2 linked regions of the Arabidopsis thaliana genome follow. The protein of the gene in region 2 interacts with the protein of the main gene of each other region in a pairwise test. Each region holds a gene or a part of one and is shown on either strand. Other genes may lie near its edges.

What was found. Proteins that work in one complex are often made in the same cells at the same time.
Region 1: the proteins of JAZ12 (region 2) and KEG interact in a two-hybrid assay, tested with the Arabidopsis thaliana proteins (one study listed by BioGRID).

What each region holds. Positions count from the first base shown.
Region 1 is NC_003076.8:4,341,566-4,349,253, forward strand, and holds the start of KEG (protein kinases;ubiquitin-protein ligase), read left to right. Parts: upstream 1-3,636; 5' UTR 3,637-4,052; coding exon 4,053-4,795; intron 4,796-5,621; coding exon 5,622-5,975; intron 5,976-6,055; coding exon 6,056-6,286; intron 6,287-6,467; coding exon 6,468-6,593; intron 6,594-6,691; coding exon 6,692-7,028; intron 7,029-7,184; coding exon 7,185-7,342; intron 7,343-7,680; coding exon 7,681-7,688. Other genes in the region: EMB3136 (Ribosomal protein L10 family protein), read left to right, coding at 1-391; AT5G13520 (peptidase M1 family protein), read right to left, coding at 552-845, 1,242-1,568, 1,653-1,886, 2,011-3,006. UniProt on the Arabidopsis thaliana protein: Mediates E2-dependent protein ubiquitination. Acts as a negative regulator of abscisic acid signaling. Required for ABI5 degradation, by mediating its ubiquitination.
Region 2 is NC_003076.8:7,087,382-7,095,069, reverse strand, and holds JAZ12 (jasmonate-zim-domain protein 12), read right to left. Parts: upstream 4,367-7,688; 5' UTR 4,188-4,366; coding exon 4,063-4,187; intron 3,673-4,062; coding exon 3,570-3,672; intron 3,496-3,569; coding exon 3,315-3,495; intron 3,224-3,314; coding exon 3,166-3,223; intron 3,156-3,165; exon of another isoform or gene 2,966-3,155; coding exon 2,869-2,965; 3' UTR 2,531-2,868; downstream 1-2,530. Other genes in the region: EIF2 BETA (eukaryotic translation initiation factor 2 beta subunit), read left to right, coding at 5-76; AIP2 (RING/U-box superfamily protein), read left to right, coding at 760-927, 1,200-1,404, 1,493-1,689, 1,964-2,176, 2,258-2,407; AT5G20890 (TCP-1/cpn60 chaperonin family protein), read left to right, coding at 5,164-5,169, 5,254-5,310, 5,407-5,472, 5,562-5,673, 5,775-5,903, 6,002-6,073, 6,245-6,360, 6,586-6,662 and 2 more. UniProt on the Arabidopsis thaliana protein: Repressor of jasmonate responses.

The DNA.
Region 1 (7,688 bases), 2.7 Mb from region 2:
CATCGTCGCCAAGAACACTTTGGTCTTCAAAGCCATTGAAGGCACCAAATGGGAAGCTCTCAAGCCTTGTATGAAAGGCATGAACGCTTGGCTTTTCGTCCAGACCGATGAAATCCCTTCTGCTATCAAACCCTACCGGAGCTTCCAGAAGGAACGCAAGCTTGAAAACAATGACTTTGCCGGCGCTGTCTTCGAAGGTAAGTTCTACGCTCCTGACAATTTCAAAGTCCTCGAGACCATGCCCACTCGTGCTGAGGTCTACGCTAAGATGCTCGGTGCTCTGCAATCTCCGGCTATTAATCTCGTCACTACTTTACAAGCACCAGCAAGAGAGGTTATAATGGTGCTTATGGCTTACATTAAGAAGTTGGAAGATGAGAGTAATGCATAGTTAAGCTTGTACTAATCTTTTGGAGAATGTAATGTACGCAACAAAAGGCAATTCAATTTTTTGTTTATGACTCTCTCAAGCACCAATTGTTATTACAGTGACTGAGTTTTATTGAAATGTTGTTTTTCGGAGTGCTCTCAAGCTATCATAACGGTCTTGTTTAGATGTACTTAGAGAGGATAGATTCAACAACTCCCTGAGCTATGGGGTGATAAGTTTCTCGAGCTTCTGCAAACACCTGTTTTGCCAGCTGCTTCTCTTCTGTTCCACCAGATTGTGCAAGAGCAGTGAAGAGTGGACGCAGGTACTTCATCCTTCCTACCTCTTTTAGTGTTTTCTTCACTTCCCCATGGTACTCTCTGCACTTGGATGTGACTGCAAGTTGCAGAAACGAGACCTTCACTTCATAGTCTTTCGATTCTGCCAGTCTGTACCGCTTGTCCAAGGCCATGACCTGATTCATCAATGAGCAAAGTGGGTGTTAGCCATAGGTTTGAACCTGATCACCAATCCTTCCTTTGTTGACTAGCATTGTCATTAACAAACAAGATAAGATCCTAACTCTTGCAAAGCCAATACACTTTCCACAATCATGAACTCTCCCAAAGCCAAGAGGGTTTTTCCACAATCATTATTCACTAGCCCCACATTAATCCAAGAGTAACTATTGAGCTAACCTAACTGACAGTTAGTTAGGCCTTTTTCTCCTCCTTATGTAAGCTTATTGAGTAGTTCAACCTAAGTCAAGCCATTTCCCATTATCTTAGAGGAAGAAATAAAGATTCACTCAGCAAGTACAGCTCCAAGTACAGCTCCCATTAACTTAGAGGAAGAAAGGAGTAAAGAGTACCTGAGAAGGTTCACATGATTTAGGAAGATTCTCCAAGTACAGCTCCCATTCCTGTCCGTTCCACTCAGCAACATCATCCTCACTTGGCATCTTTCCTTCCTTAAACTCTTTCGCCAGGGATATGATCTTTGTGTAAATGGTTGAGACTGGTTCATATGCATCCTCTGGTATACCAACGCCCTCAGTCCACAGCTGTAGATTGATCTCTTTCTCTATGCCAGGGATGTTTGCTTTCAGGAATTCAAGAAATGTGTTTGTATCGATTGACTTGAACTTGAAAGTAGCAATGTATTTCTTGAGGAATTCGTCAAAAGCAGTTCTTCCAATCTGAAAGTTTTCCAGTAAATAGATGACCATTATTGTAAACATTACATAACAAAACACCTAAGCGAAGAGGGCAATTCAACTAACCTGGCGTTCAATTCGCAACACAAATTGGAATCCTTTTTCATATGGGACCTGAGAATATACATCATCTGGATCAACACCTTCTTGTTTGTTCCACAGTTTAGTGCACTCCAAGTTGTCCTTAAACCGTTCCATTTCATCAGTTAAACCCCTCCAACCAATGCCAATGTTCAAAGTAGCTATATCCGCCCCTTGAACAACCTCCACAATTCTCCTCTCTGCGTAAGTTGTAAATCCCTATTGCCATGAACATGAAATAAACACTTTCCCATCAACAAGGCAAACTCTAAAAACGGACACACAGTTACACATCCTAATTTGTAGCTAAAAGAAGCAAAAGCACAAGACAATTCAAAGCTACCTCATTCAACCAGAAGTGTTCATTGTTGATATTAGTGATCAAATTCCCAGTCCAGCTATGTGCGAGCTCGTGAGCTACAACTTGAGCTCCAGTGGCGTCTCCTTTGATAACAGTAGGCGTCAGGAAAACCATTCTTGGATTCTCCATACCTCCATAAGGAAAACTCGGAGGCAGCACCAGTAAGTCAAATCTCTCCCACTCGTAATCTCCAAACAGCTTCTCCCCTTGCTTGATCATATCCTCCGTTCCTGCAAACTCCAGAGCAGCCGCATCTAGAACTTCAATGGCGGCAGATTCTGTGTATACCCGAGTCCTAGGTCCAACTTCCCGAAACCCTAACTCACCAACGGCAAAAGCAAATAGATAAGGCGGTATAGGCTGTTCCATAGCAAACTCTTCCACAACTCTATCCTCACCACACCACAGTGACGACCCCAGCGACCCAGCCTCGAGATGTTTAGCCTCCTCAGGAACCGCAAGCCTACGACGGACGTGGCGAGCCGACATGACGGCAGAGAGCGAATTCGGTATGTTCATAACGACGTCGTAACGGATCCTCGCGGCAGGAGTGTCCTGGCATGGGAAAATGGATCTGGCGTGAATCGCTTGACACTGCGTGTAGACATAAGGATGCAATTTGGAGAAAGTTTGAAGCGGCGAAAGCCACTGGAGAGCGGAAGCAGAAGGCGAAGTGGAGTAGACAATTAGCAGTGAAGATTGACCGGAGAGGACTACGACAACTTCGGTGCCCCGAATTCGATCCGGTGTGGTGGAGACGGAGTAAGGGATAGGCTCGAGAGTGAGAGGATCGAGGACCATAGCAATGGAAATGCAGCGAGTATCAAGAGAGAGTTCGCCGGAGAAGGCGGAGGAGAGAGTGAGGAGAGCGGAGCCATGGATTATGGAGGTGTTGAAATCGAGGTAGAGGGAGAGAGCGACATGCGTGGTGAGAGGATGAGAGGAATCGGTGAAAGAGTGTGGATCAATGGGTGCCATTGCTGAGTGAGAGAAGCTTGCTTAGGGTTTTGAGGAAAGGGGCAGTTAGAGAGGTGGAGAAGAGAGTATAAAGCGGGAGAAAAAGAAAAAATGAAGAATTGTTGTTCGATGGTACCATTTTATGATGATAAATAATGTATTTTTGGAATAATTTGGTTAATGGAGAATCATTTAGTGCATAAAGTTGAAACCGTTAGATATTAAACGGCGACTAAATACAATGTTAAACCCAAGTTGGATGAACCAAAAGCACACCAAGCCACCAACAATCCTGAGATTTTTAACAACCATCTTTTTGGGCTTGAGCCTCTATTGAGCTTCAAGTTTTAGGTCCATGAGTTATACACTCACACGAGTAATCTACTTAGCAACAAACAACGAGTTTACATTTTGGTATTGGTGTCAGATTTATCGTCTCATTATTTGGTGAACTCTATTACAAGATCAAACAATCTATTTGTTTTTGCATTTGGCTCAAAAGCTACTTGGTAAAAACTTCGCCAAAAAAAAAAACTCTCAGTAAAAATTACAATTATTTTTTCCTGATGGTTTAAGTTGTTGATGACAACAAATATAAAATCTGATGGTTGACGATTACTACTATTAGGAGAGTCAATAAACGGGTTCGAGCACAAGTGCTGACGGCACCCACCCGTCAAAACCGACGAAACCAGAGAGCCCTCGAGACTCAACCCCAAATAAAATTGGAAAAAAATGAAAATAAAAATAAAAATGATGATATAAAACCCTGAAGAAGAACCTTTTTCACATTTTTCTTACAATTTTTATTCTTGCTTGCTCGTGTCTGATTTTTCCCAGCCAATTTTGATCTACCTTTCAAAAATTCCACCTTTTTCTTTCTTCTCCATGGATCTGTTCTTCTCTCCTTGATCTGGATCGACTTTACTGAGTTTCCTTCCCCCCCCCCCCCCCCCAGATATGTTCTGAGGAACTCTCTCTACTGAATTGATTGGTCTTTCACTCCCTTCTTACTCTTTGATCTCGCGACCTAAATTAATTTAGGGCTTTCTCTTTTCGGAGCTCTCATGGTTGGGAGAGTCAAGGTCCCTTGTTGTTCCGTGTGCCACACGCGGTATAATGAAGATGAGAGAGTTCCTTTATTGCTTCAATGCGGCCATGGCTTCTGCAAAGATTGTCTTTCCAAGATGTTCTCTACTTCTTCCGACACAACCCTCACTTGTCCCCGGTGTCGCCACGTGTCTGTTGTTGGGAACTCTGTTCAGGGTCTCAGGAAGAACTACGCTATGCTTGCTCTCATTCACGCCGCATCCGGCGGCGCTAACTTCGATTGCGATTACACGGATGATGAGGATGACGACGATGAAGAAGATGGTAGTGATGAAGATGGAGCTCGTGCCGCTCGTGGATTTCATGCCTCAAGCTCGATTAATAGCTTGTGTGGTCCAGTGATCGAGGTCGGAGCTCACCCGGAGATGAAGCTGGTGAGGCAGATTGGGGAAGAGAGTAGTAGTGGTGGTTTTGGAGGTGTGGAGATGTGGGATGCAACTGTTGCAGGCGGTGGTGGACGGTGTAAGCACCGTGTGGCGGTGAAAAAGATGACTTTGACGGAGGACATGGATGTTGAGTGGATGCAGGGACAGCTTGAGAGCTTGCGGAGAGCATCCATGTGGTGTAGGAATGTTTGTACTTTCCATGGGGTTGTGAAGATGGATGGATCTCTTTGTCTTTTGATGGACAGGTGCTTTGGGTCTGTTCAGTCTGAGATGCAACGCAATGAAGGCAGACTTACTTTGGAGCAGATTCTAAGGTTCCTCTTTTGCTTCTCTTATTCTTTTTTTTTGCCTAGTATCTGGCTTTTACTGTGATCGTTTCTGTGCTTAAAGTCTCAAACTTTGATAGCCTGTTCCCTAATTAGAAATTACTGGACTAGACCCGACTTGGTTTTTTGTGATTGCTATTAGAAATATATATTGTAAGTGCACAGTTTTTCAGATTCTAGTGAAACAAGCAACTAAAACCTGGTGTCATTTGCCAAAAGGGCAACTTGTAAGATAACTTTAGTTTAGATGTTCTTAAAAAGCTAGGCACGAATTATAGTAGTTGTCATCTCTCTTTGTCATTACCAGCTGCAGCTACTTTTCATCTGTCAATGCCTCAATAGACAAACATTTTTTGGACTAGTCCTTTCCTTTTTAGTAGTGGATCCTTGAACCTACGTTTGCAAGATATCTTTGAGAAAGCCCTTTACATTAGTATGCTTCCTTCTAAAGTATATGACCAGAAATCATTTTTCAACGAACTGACATATCAAATCATGCAAAAAATTGTACGAATTGTTATACATTAATTTATCAAAGGACGCATCATCTAAAGATGATCCTTATTTTGTTGTCCTGGTTCTAATATTACCTTCAATTCACTTGTTTGTATTTCCTCCTATTTTCTGTTTTTAACTGAATTGCGTCATTTGGGACTATTAAATGTAAGCACTAATGCGTAAATGAGTGTTTTGTATTCTCCTTTCATATCGTGCTCATGTTGTTTTAAGTTTACAACTTAGAATATTCCTTCAGTGACCAACATATGTATTATTCCATTGCTCTTGTTGTGATATTAAATTTTACCAACTGTAGATATGGGGCTGATGTTGCTCGAGGGGTTGCAGAACTCCATGCAGCAGGTGTTATCTGTATGAATATAAAACCTTCCAATCTTCTTTTGGATGCAAGCGGCAATGCTGTGGTTTCTGATTATGGGCTCGCTCCCATCCTAAAGAAGCCAACATGCCAGAAAACTCGACCAGAGTTTGATTCCTCAAAAGTCACTCTATACACGGACTGTGTAACACTCAGTCCACACTACACTGCCCCAGAGGCTTGGGGACCGGTGAAAAAACTTTTTTGGGAGGATGCAAGTGGTGTATCTCCAGAATCAGATGCATGGAGTTTTGGCTGTACGTTAGTAGAGATGTGCACTGGATCCACTCCGTATGTGAAGCCTCTTCCTAGTTGATATTTCAGTTGTGTTTTGTGTCTGCCATTGTACTAACTGTCACTTAATTTTACAGGTGGGATGGTCTTAGTAGAGAAGAAATTTTTCAAGCTGTTGTGAAAGCCCGAAAAGTACCACCACAGTATGAACGCATAGTGGGTGTGGGAATTCCTCGGGAATTATGGAAAATGATTGGTGAATGTCTTCAGTTTAAACCGTCGAAAAGACCAACCTTTAATGCAATGCTTGCTACATTTCTTCGTCATCTACAAGAGATACCACGTAGCCCTTCAGCAAGCCCTGATAAGTAAGAGTTTTAAGTCCCTAAGATTACTTAGTTTTATGGTTTCCCTGTTTTCGTTGCTTGTCAGTAAAGAAGACCCTTTCACTTGTGTTAAGATTAATATTAGCACCAACACCTAAGATTATTTTTGTCATCATGCCTATATTCCTTCGCCTAACAATAATATAAACCATGTATGATGTAGTGGGATTGCCAAAATATGTGAAGTAAACATTGTACAAGCACCTCGCGCGACTAACATAGGGGTCTTTCAGGATAACCCTAACAACCTACATCGGGTTGTTTTGGAGGGAGACTTTGAGGGTGTAAGGTTAGTATCTGTTAGGAATTCTAGTTAATCCTTTTGTTCGCACTAGCTATAAACAACCTGTTCTCAACTACATTGGTTTGATTTTTGTTTTGGAGTAGAAATATACTTGCAAAGGCTGCAGCTGGAGGCGGTGGAAGCTCTGTGCGATCTCTATTAGAGGCGCAAAACGCTGATGGTCAATCGGCTCTTCACTTAGCTTGCAGACGTGGCAGTGCTGAACTTGTGGAGGCTATACTGGAGTATGGGGAGGCTAATGTAGATATCGTGGACAAAGATGGGGATCCTCCTCTTGTCTTTGCTTTAGCAGCTGGATCTCCACAATGTGTTCACGTTCTCATTAAAAAGGGGGCTAATGTGAGGTCCAGACTGCGGGAAGGATCTGGCCCATCTGTAGCTCACGTGTGTTCGTACCATGGCCAACCTGATTGTATGCGTGTAAGTCTCTGCTCCCGAGGAAGCTATCAGTCACTTTAAAGCTTCCACAACATGATCGCAAATCTTCCACTTATGTGAAGTGTATCAGATATTATGCTTGTCTTATATCTATTATCATGTTAATAACTATTCTCTGCTAATTGGTACTATCAATAGGAATTGCTGGTAGCTGGAGCCGATCCAAATGCAGTGGATGATGAAGGTGAAACTGTGCTTCATCGAGCTGTTGCCAAGAAATACACAGATTGTGCCATTGTTATATTGGAAAATGGGGGATCTAGATCAATGACTGTTTCAAATGCGAAGTGCCTGACGTAAGTACAGAAATGACCTCTTTCTATGCTAGGTAGACGGGACCATAAAATTTGGCACGGATAGATTACTACTGGGCCATTTTAAAGCAAGTTCTGTTTGGTTTTATTTTGTAGTTCTTATACTCCTATTTGCATCTACATTATAACTTATTTTGAGCATTGTATGTGCTTAAAAATGTCTACTACATTAACCTGTTTGGATAAGTCACAATGAGGTAGCTGAACCATTTAATGTGTACCTTGGTTCTTTTCTTTCTTAGGAAAGCATATTTCATTTTGTAAACCTATGTTTCTGATGTTTTATGCTACAGATCTTTATACTTTTATGTTTGTTTCAGACCGTTAC
Region 2 (7,688 bases):
GCAGTGTGGATCTCAACGATCTGTGGCTCCGATCAAAACAGGGTTTGTTGCTCGTGTTAGTCGCAGGAAGACTTGAGAAATTAGAAGGTGAAGTGACCTTGGTATGGAGTTTGGAGCTATTCTACTGCTTCTGTATGAGTTTATGAGTTGAAGAAATACTTGTCTTGTTTTTTTTATTTTGTTTTGGAATATGATTATGACTTGACTTTTAAAATGGGATAGGATCAAAACCTTTTACTCTGTCAGGTTCATGTGGTCACCTTGAAGGTTGATTTAGTAAATCCATGGACTTCTTTTTTGTGTTAAGATTATTCTTAGTTCAAAATTAATAGACTAATGATATTAACGTCCACAGGCATTGCGTTCAACATCTCAAATTAAAGCGTGGAAGGCTCAGAAAGTCCAATATACACTATGTTTATCTACAGTTACAATCATACTACAAAAAACAAATAATGTATACGGTTTGGTCTAATATAGCCGCATACGATTTAGTATTTACCAACAAAAAATTGGTCTCAAACCAAACCGAACAATTGGTAATTAACAATTGTTCTTTTGGTCTTGAACCGAACCAAACCGAACTGAACTATATTAACCGACCGACTTCGTCCTTTCCTCCTGATCAAGAAAACTCGTCTCCTACAAAAATCCCAGAAGACAAGAGATTGGTTCTTCTTTTGCATCATTCTTACAAAATCCCCAAAATCATTCGAAACCCCTGAGTATTCTCCTTAACTCTAAGAAATAAATTTCTGAATGGATGCATCGTCTTCACCGTCTCCTTCCGAGGAAAGCTTGAAGCTTGAGCTTGATGATCTTCAGAAACAGCTGAACAAAAAGCTGAGATTCGAAGCATCCGTTTGTTCTATTCATAATCTTCTCCGTGATCACTACTCTTCTTCCTCTCCTTCTCTCCGCAAACAGGTTGGTTTTTATTCTTAGATTTTCGGATCAATAGATTCAAAATTATTCGGAATTGTTAGGGTTTATGCCTGCCTTGACGTTTACTCATTGCTTATGTCTGATGATGGGTTTAACTTTTGAGGATTGAATCAGGAATCAAATATCTTTCTTTTATTGTTTTTCTATTTCAATTGTGGAGAAAGTTCATGTTCATGTCAAAAATTTCATTTAATCCGATCTGTTTTTGTTTAGTTACCCTCTGTGACATAGTATTGATTTGATTGCCATTGCAGTTCTATATAGTTGTATCTCGTGTCGCTACGGTTCTTAAGACAAGATATACAGCTACTGGATTTTGGGTTGCTGGACTGAGTCTTTTCGAAGAGGCTGAGCGACTTGTCTCTGATGCTTCTGAGAAGAAACATTTGAAATCTTGCGTTGCTCAAGCTAAGGAGCAGTTAAGCGAAGTAGATAATCAGCCAACAGAGAGCTCACAAGGTTTGTGAAACATTTAGTTTGGCTTTTGATGGTTTTAAGTGAAATTTATCTGGAGATGATTTTTATTTCTCTTGTGAATTTTTTGCAGGTTATCTTTTTGAGGGACATCTTACGGTTGATCGTGAGCCGCCACAGCCTCAGTGGCTAGTACAGCAGAATCTCATGTCTGCTTTCGCTTCTATCGTTGGTGGTGAATCCTCTAATGGTCCTACTGAAAACACTATTGGGGAAACTGCTAACTTGATGCAAGAACTTATCAATGGTCTTGACATGATCATTCCAGATGTAATGCCTTCTCTTTTCTTCCTTACTAGTTTTAGATTATGTACTATCACACATAGCTGATATCACAAGTTTCTTCACCTAAAGATAGAGATGAAAGCAATTCTTAATCATCCGCATTCTACTCATATGTTGTTTTTTGCATATTGAGTTTCTCCACTTGGTTGTCTCACTCATCTGTATCAAGAGTGTTTAACCTCAACCTCTAATATTGTATTGGTAGCGTCTTTTTCTTAGCTTCATGATTGAAAAGTGATATATGATGTGTTCTATGCAGATACTAGATGATGGTGGACCACCAAGAGCTCCACCGGCAAGTAAAGAAGTTGTAGAGAAACTCCCAGTCATTATTTTCACCGAGGAATTGCTTAAAAAGTTTGGAGCAGAGGCAGAATGTTGCATCTGCAAGGAGAATCTAGTTATTGGCGACAAGATGCAGGAATTGCCATGCAAGCACACATTTCACCCTCCTTGCCTAAAGCCTTGGCTGGTATAAAAAAAAAAATCCCATTCTTTCAAGCTTACTAGTAAGTAAGAACATAAAGCTTATGCTCATATTGTTTTATGGCAGGACGAGCATAACTCTTGCCCTATATGCCGCCATGAATTACCAACAGACGATCAGAAATACGAAAACTGGAAAGAGAGAGAGAAAGAGGCCGAAGAAGAGAGGAAGGGCGCAGAGAATGCTGTCCGCGGAGGTGAATATATGTACGTTTAAATTTCAATCAGTTATGGCACACTCCCATTGTCTTTCCTTGAAACATCTCCGAATTGTTGTTCATCATTCACAATTATAAATCCCATTTTACATATAGATTCAATGTCTTTTGTATGAAAGCTTATAATAACAACACAGACTTCTTTACTTTACACACAATTGTATCTTGAAGAGATGACAAGTTCAATAACATAACATCAAAGAGTCATTAGTTAGATAGACTCTAGGACAGTGTTACTAACTACAATAGTTTCTTCAGTAGAATTGTAAAATGGCAAACATATCTGACCACTCCCAGACATGGAAACAATCTTCGGTTTGTCTAGCAAACCTATACAGACACTATCATACAACACATTACACACAGCAGCGTACATGATAGATTATCATATTAATTACTATATTGACAAAACGTTTTACTTAGTTTGCTTATAAGCTTAATGTGGAGGTTTGATCTTCTGCTAAGCAGTTGGAAATTCCTCCTTGATAGAGACATTGCCTGTTGGGACATCTGTCTTTTTGAAGTCTGAAGTAGGGTAAGGGTTTTTGTTGACCAATCTGCAGATAAAAAAAAGTGAATGTTATTGTTAGATGCAATATCAAGGTTAAACATTATGATCAATCTGTCTTTACAAGTCTCTCACAGGTACATTAACAAGCTCTGTATTAGTAATCAATCAAAAACTGAATAAAATAGATCAGATTTGAATTTCCATTGAAATGGAGAAGGATGAAGTGTAATTTTAAAGGCTGCATACCTGTCCCGTCTTTTCTCGAGGAATCGTTGAAGCGAATGCCTCCTTGCAATAGGTAGATCTGTTACGGCAAACATAATTGTAAGAAACTAATGAGAGTATCCATTTTCAAGGTTTGAAGATTACTATAACCAGTTGAATCGAATACTTACCAGCCGTGGATCTGCAAAACGAGATTGGCTGAATAGGAAATGGCTGTGCAGCTGGTGATGCCACATTAGATGTGCTTGAGAAAGAAGGAGCTCTGTTCAGTGCTGGCGATGAGACAGGACTGATGCTTGTAGAATTCTTTGTCTCCATTGCTTTAGCAGCAATACGAAGGATTTCTTGAACCTATAGGCATAGATCACAGTGAGAACAGAAATTCTGAAGTTTTTCTGACAACAACAAAGCTCTAATGGACCAACCTTTTCTGATGGAAGTCCATCAAACACAGTAACACTTCCACCAAAGAAAATAGTAAGTTGATTTGGAGGAACCGTTGGCTCAGCGGTTTGAATCTCCGTGGACCTTCAATAGCAGAAGATCTATTAAACTTGTGACCGACACTATAAAGATGGACTTATTGATGCAACATTAAGAAAACTCTCCACATATGAATCCAGTCTCTCCAATTTCACATGTTAACGGTGAAGTTCTATTAATCAAATTCACATGAAAACTTATGTATGCATTAAAGGACTTTGAAAAACACAAGTTTGTTAAGAATCCAATTGTTCCAGCCAAAAAACAAATTGGTTCCATTGAGAAATATGACTTTCCCTAAATAGAAACTAAAGTAACCAGATCGAAATGCTGATCTTCCTTATCAGAAACAAGATACAATTTTAAGTACTAAACTCAAAGCAAAGAGAGAAACAGATAAAAACATGTGAAATCAACAGTAAACACAGCTCATACCTAACTTCGTTAATCGATTTCTCAACAGATCCGGTACCGCCGATCTCAGCCGCGCCGCCGTCACCGTCGGCAACACCACATCCACCTTCAACGGAAGCGCGTGGCTCATCTTTCACCTTAGTCATGGCTTGTCTCTCAAAATTTGTAGATCTGTCTTTTTCCGATGAGAATTTTGATACTTCTCTCCCTTAGAGTACTTTTGTTTCGCTTCGTCTCTACGTCGTTCAGACCGGGAACCTCCGAGATTTATCCTTCTCAGAAGCTCCTGTAATTTGACACCTGGCGATAGATATTGATTTTTATTGTTTGACTTTTGGTGCTACGACAGTAAAAGACAACAAGAGGGTAATTAGAAACGTGCTCGAATATGATACGGTGTCGTTGGCCTTCTATGTGGGACATGCTTTCTCATTTCGGTTATCCGGAACTCCAAACGTGTATAATTTATAAGTGGCTGAGACGTTAAACTAATTGAGTTTGCTGGACCTTGATTCATTGGGCTCTTAAAGTACTGTTGGGCTTAGTCGTCTTAAAATGACTTCTAAAATGGACCTTGACTGCTTACATTTATAATGTTTCTCTTTCTATTTTATAAGCCTCTTTACATTTATAGTTTTTTTTAGTAACAATATTCGCATACAAATCACGAATTAATTTATTTCTGTTTTTGTATTCGACCGCTAAATCATCACCAAATTCAAATTTGTATATGGAACATTTTTTTTTTTCCTCTATATAATCAAACAAAATGCAAAATTGTCGAAACTATAAAATTTACTTCTTAATGTAACTTATAACTTTTTGGTTAAGGGTTAATCTAAACTTTTTAGTTTTTACTGAAGGGCGCATAAGAAATCTGGGAAATACGAGGGTAGTTTGGTCTTTACGAGTTTCATTTAGGGTTCCGAAAGATCTGGGTTTTGGCTCTCTCCTCTCATTTTCTACTCTTCTTCAAAAGCACACTCAATATTTCGAGATCCTCTCGGCTTGTTCGTTCTTCGTGAACGATCCCATCTATTGTTTCTCGCTAGTCTCAGATTCGACTAACTTGGATATCTCCGATACTGAAGAAGCCTCCTTCTTCTTTTTCCGCTCTTCCCGATGCCGGTAATGTTCCTCCGTCGTCTCTTTCAATCCTTTTGCTTTTCCCCAGTGCTCTCCGTTAACTGAACTTAGCTATTTCGTATTTAGATCGATAAGATCTTCAAAGATGATGCTAGTGAAGAGAAGGGAGAACGTGCGAGGATGGTGAGTCTTTTGAATCGATTAGGATTTAGGGTTTTTCAGATTCACTCTTCTACTGTTTAAATCTGATTTTCTTTTCTTTTGTTGTTGCTCTTTTAGGCATCATTTGTTGGTGCAATGGCTATCAGTGATCTGGTTAAGTCTACTTTAGGGCCAAAGGGCATGGTAATTTCCGATCTCTGAATATTTAGAAAGCTACAAACTTTCAATTTGGTTCTATTGATTATTGTTGAATCCTTTTTATTATTGTTTAGGATAAAATCTTGCAATCTACTGGTAGAGGTCATGCGGTCACTGTTACTAACGATGGTGCTACTATTCTCAAGTCACTTCACATAGACAACCCTGCAGCTAAAGTTCTTGTTGGTATGTAATTTCCCTGCGACATTCTGGCATGAAGTTTTCACATTCGTTTTTTCTTAGTTGGGTTTTCTCTCACAGTTCGTTGTATCTGGTTTGTTCTTCAGACATCTCGAAAGTTCAAGATGATGAGGTTGGTGATGGAACTACCTCTGTTGTTGTCTTGGCCGGCGAGCTTCTGAGGGAAGCAGAAAAGCTTGTGGCTTCTAAGATTCACCCTATGACCATCATAGCAGGTACACTTTTGGAGCTTTAAGTGTTAAGATGTCAACTTTGTATCAGCTTCTCTCACTATGGCAATGATTTCTAATTTTTTCGTTTTCTGGTTTCTTAGGTTACAGAATGGCTTCGGAATGTGCTCGTAATGCTTTACTGAAAAGAGTCATTGATAACAAGGACAATGCAGGTAATCATTATAGAGATGGTTAAACCTTGTTATGCTGACATATTTAAGTATAGCATTTTCTTGTTTGTGTGATTACTTCGACTGTTGGGTTCAAGCGGTGATTTCCTTTCAGTTGAATACAGAACGGAAATCACACTGTTATTTTACAGCATTGTATTTTTGTCAATGCAGAGAAGTTTAGGTCAGACTTGTTGAAGATTGCGATGACTACTTTATGTTCCAAAATTCTCTCACAGGACAAGGAACATTTTGCAGAAATGGCCGTGGATGCTGTTTTCAGGCTAAAGGTTCCATTTCTTCCTCCTTTTGAAACTGATTCAGCAATGTCATGTGTTCCTTCCTTCTTTTTCTCTTGATTTATGTGTTATCTCATGAAAGAAGATCTTCCTTTGACGAAATGTCATGAAATTAGGCTATTATCATTTCACCATTAGTCTTTCCCATAGTTGCATCGTTTCGTTTTGGATTGTTATATGATTTTTTTCTGACATTCTGCTTTTATCGTTCAACAGGGAAGCACAAACTTGGAAGCTATTCAGATCATCAAAAAACCTGGAGGGTCTCTGAAGGATTCGTTTTTGGATGAAGGGTAAGACAACACTTTGTGCCTTTGGCGTCAGTTCAAATTCAGTTTTCTGAGCTATTGATCTTTCTTTAGTATTCATCTGTTCATGGTAACTCTGTCGTGTTTCTTTTCTTCTTCATAGCTTACGCACCTTAATTTCATTTATAGTGTTATTTTGGAATGTTGATAGTCATCATGTCATCTTGTTGTGTTGTGTTTCTTCTTCTATCGAGTAATATGGTCTCATGTCACCTCAACTTAAAATCTATGCCTGTAGGTTTATTCTTGACAAGAAAATAGGAATTGGGCAGCCTAAGCGCATAGAGAATGCAAATATCTTAGTAGCTAATACTGCTATGGATACCGATAAAGTGAAGATTTACGGTGCACGTGTCCGTGTGGATTCCATGACCAAGGTTGCTGAGATTGAAGGGGCTGAGAAGGAAAAAATGAAAGACAAGGTGAAGAAGATCATAGGCCACGGAATCAACTGCTTTGTTAACAGGCAGTTGATCTACAATTTCCCTGAGGAACTCTTTGCTGATGCTGGTATACTTGCTATTGAGCATGCTGACTTTGAGGGAATAGAGCGTCTTGGTTTGGTTACTGGTGGTGAAATTGCTTCGACCTTTGACAACCCAGAGTCTGTTAAGCTTGGGCATTGCAAGCTTATAGAAGAAATCATGATTGGTGAAGACAAGTTGATTCATTTCTCTGGTTGTGAAATGGGCCAGGCTTGTTCAATTGTCCTAAGAGGGGCCAGGTATCCATTTTCACTCCCATTACTTGAAAGACTTCGTCTAAACTTTATTCTGTTTCTAATTCACTAATCAATTTTTGTATGGGTTCTTTTTTCTTGCAGTCACCATGTCCTAGATGAGGCTGAAAGATCACTCCATGATGCCTTATGTGTACTCTCTCAAACAGTGAATGATACTAGAGTTTTGCTTGGAGGTGGATGGCCAGAGATGGTGATGGCAAAGGAAGTAGATGAGCTTGCAAGGAAAACTGCTGGCAAAAAATCTCATGCCATTGAAGCTTTCTCACGTG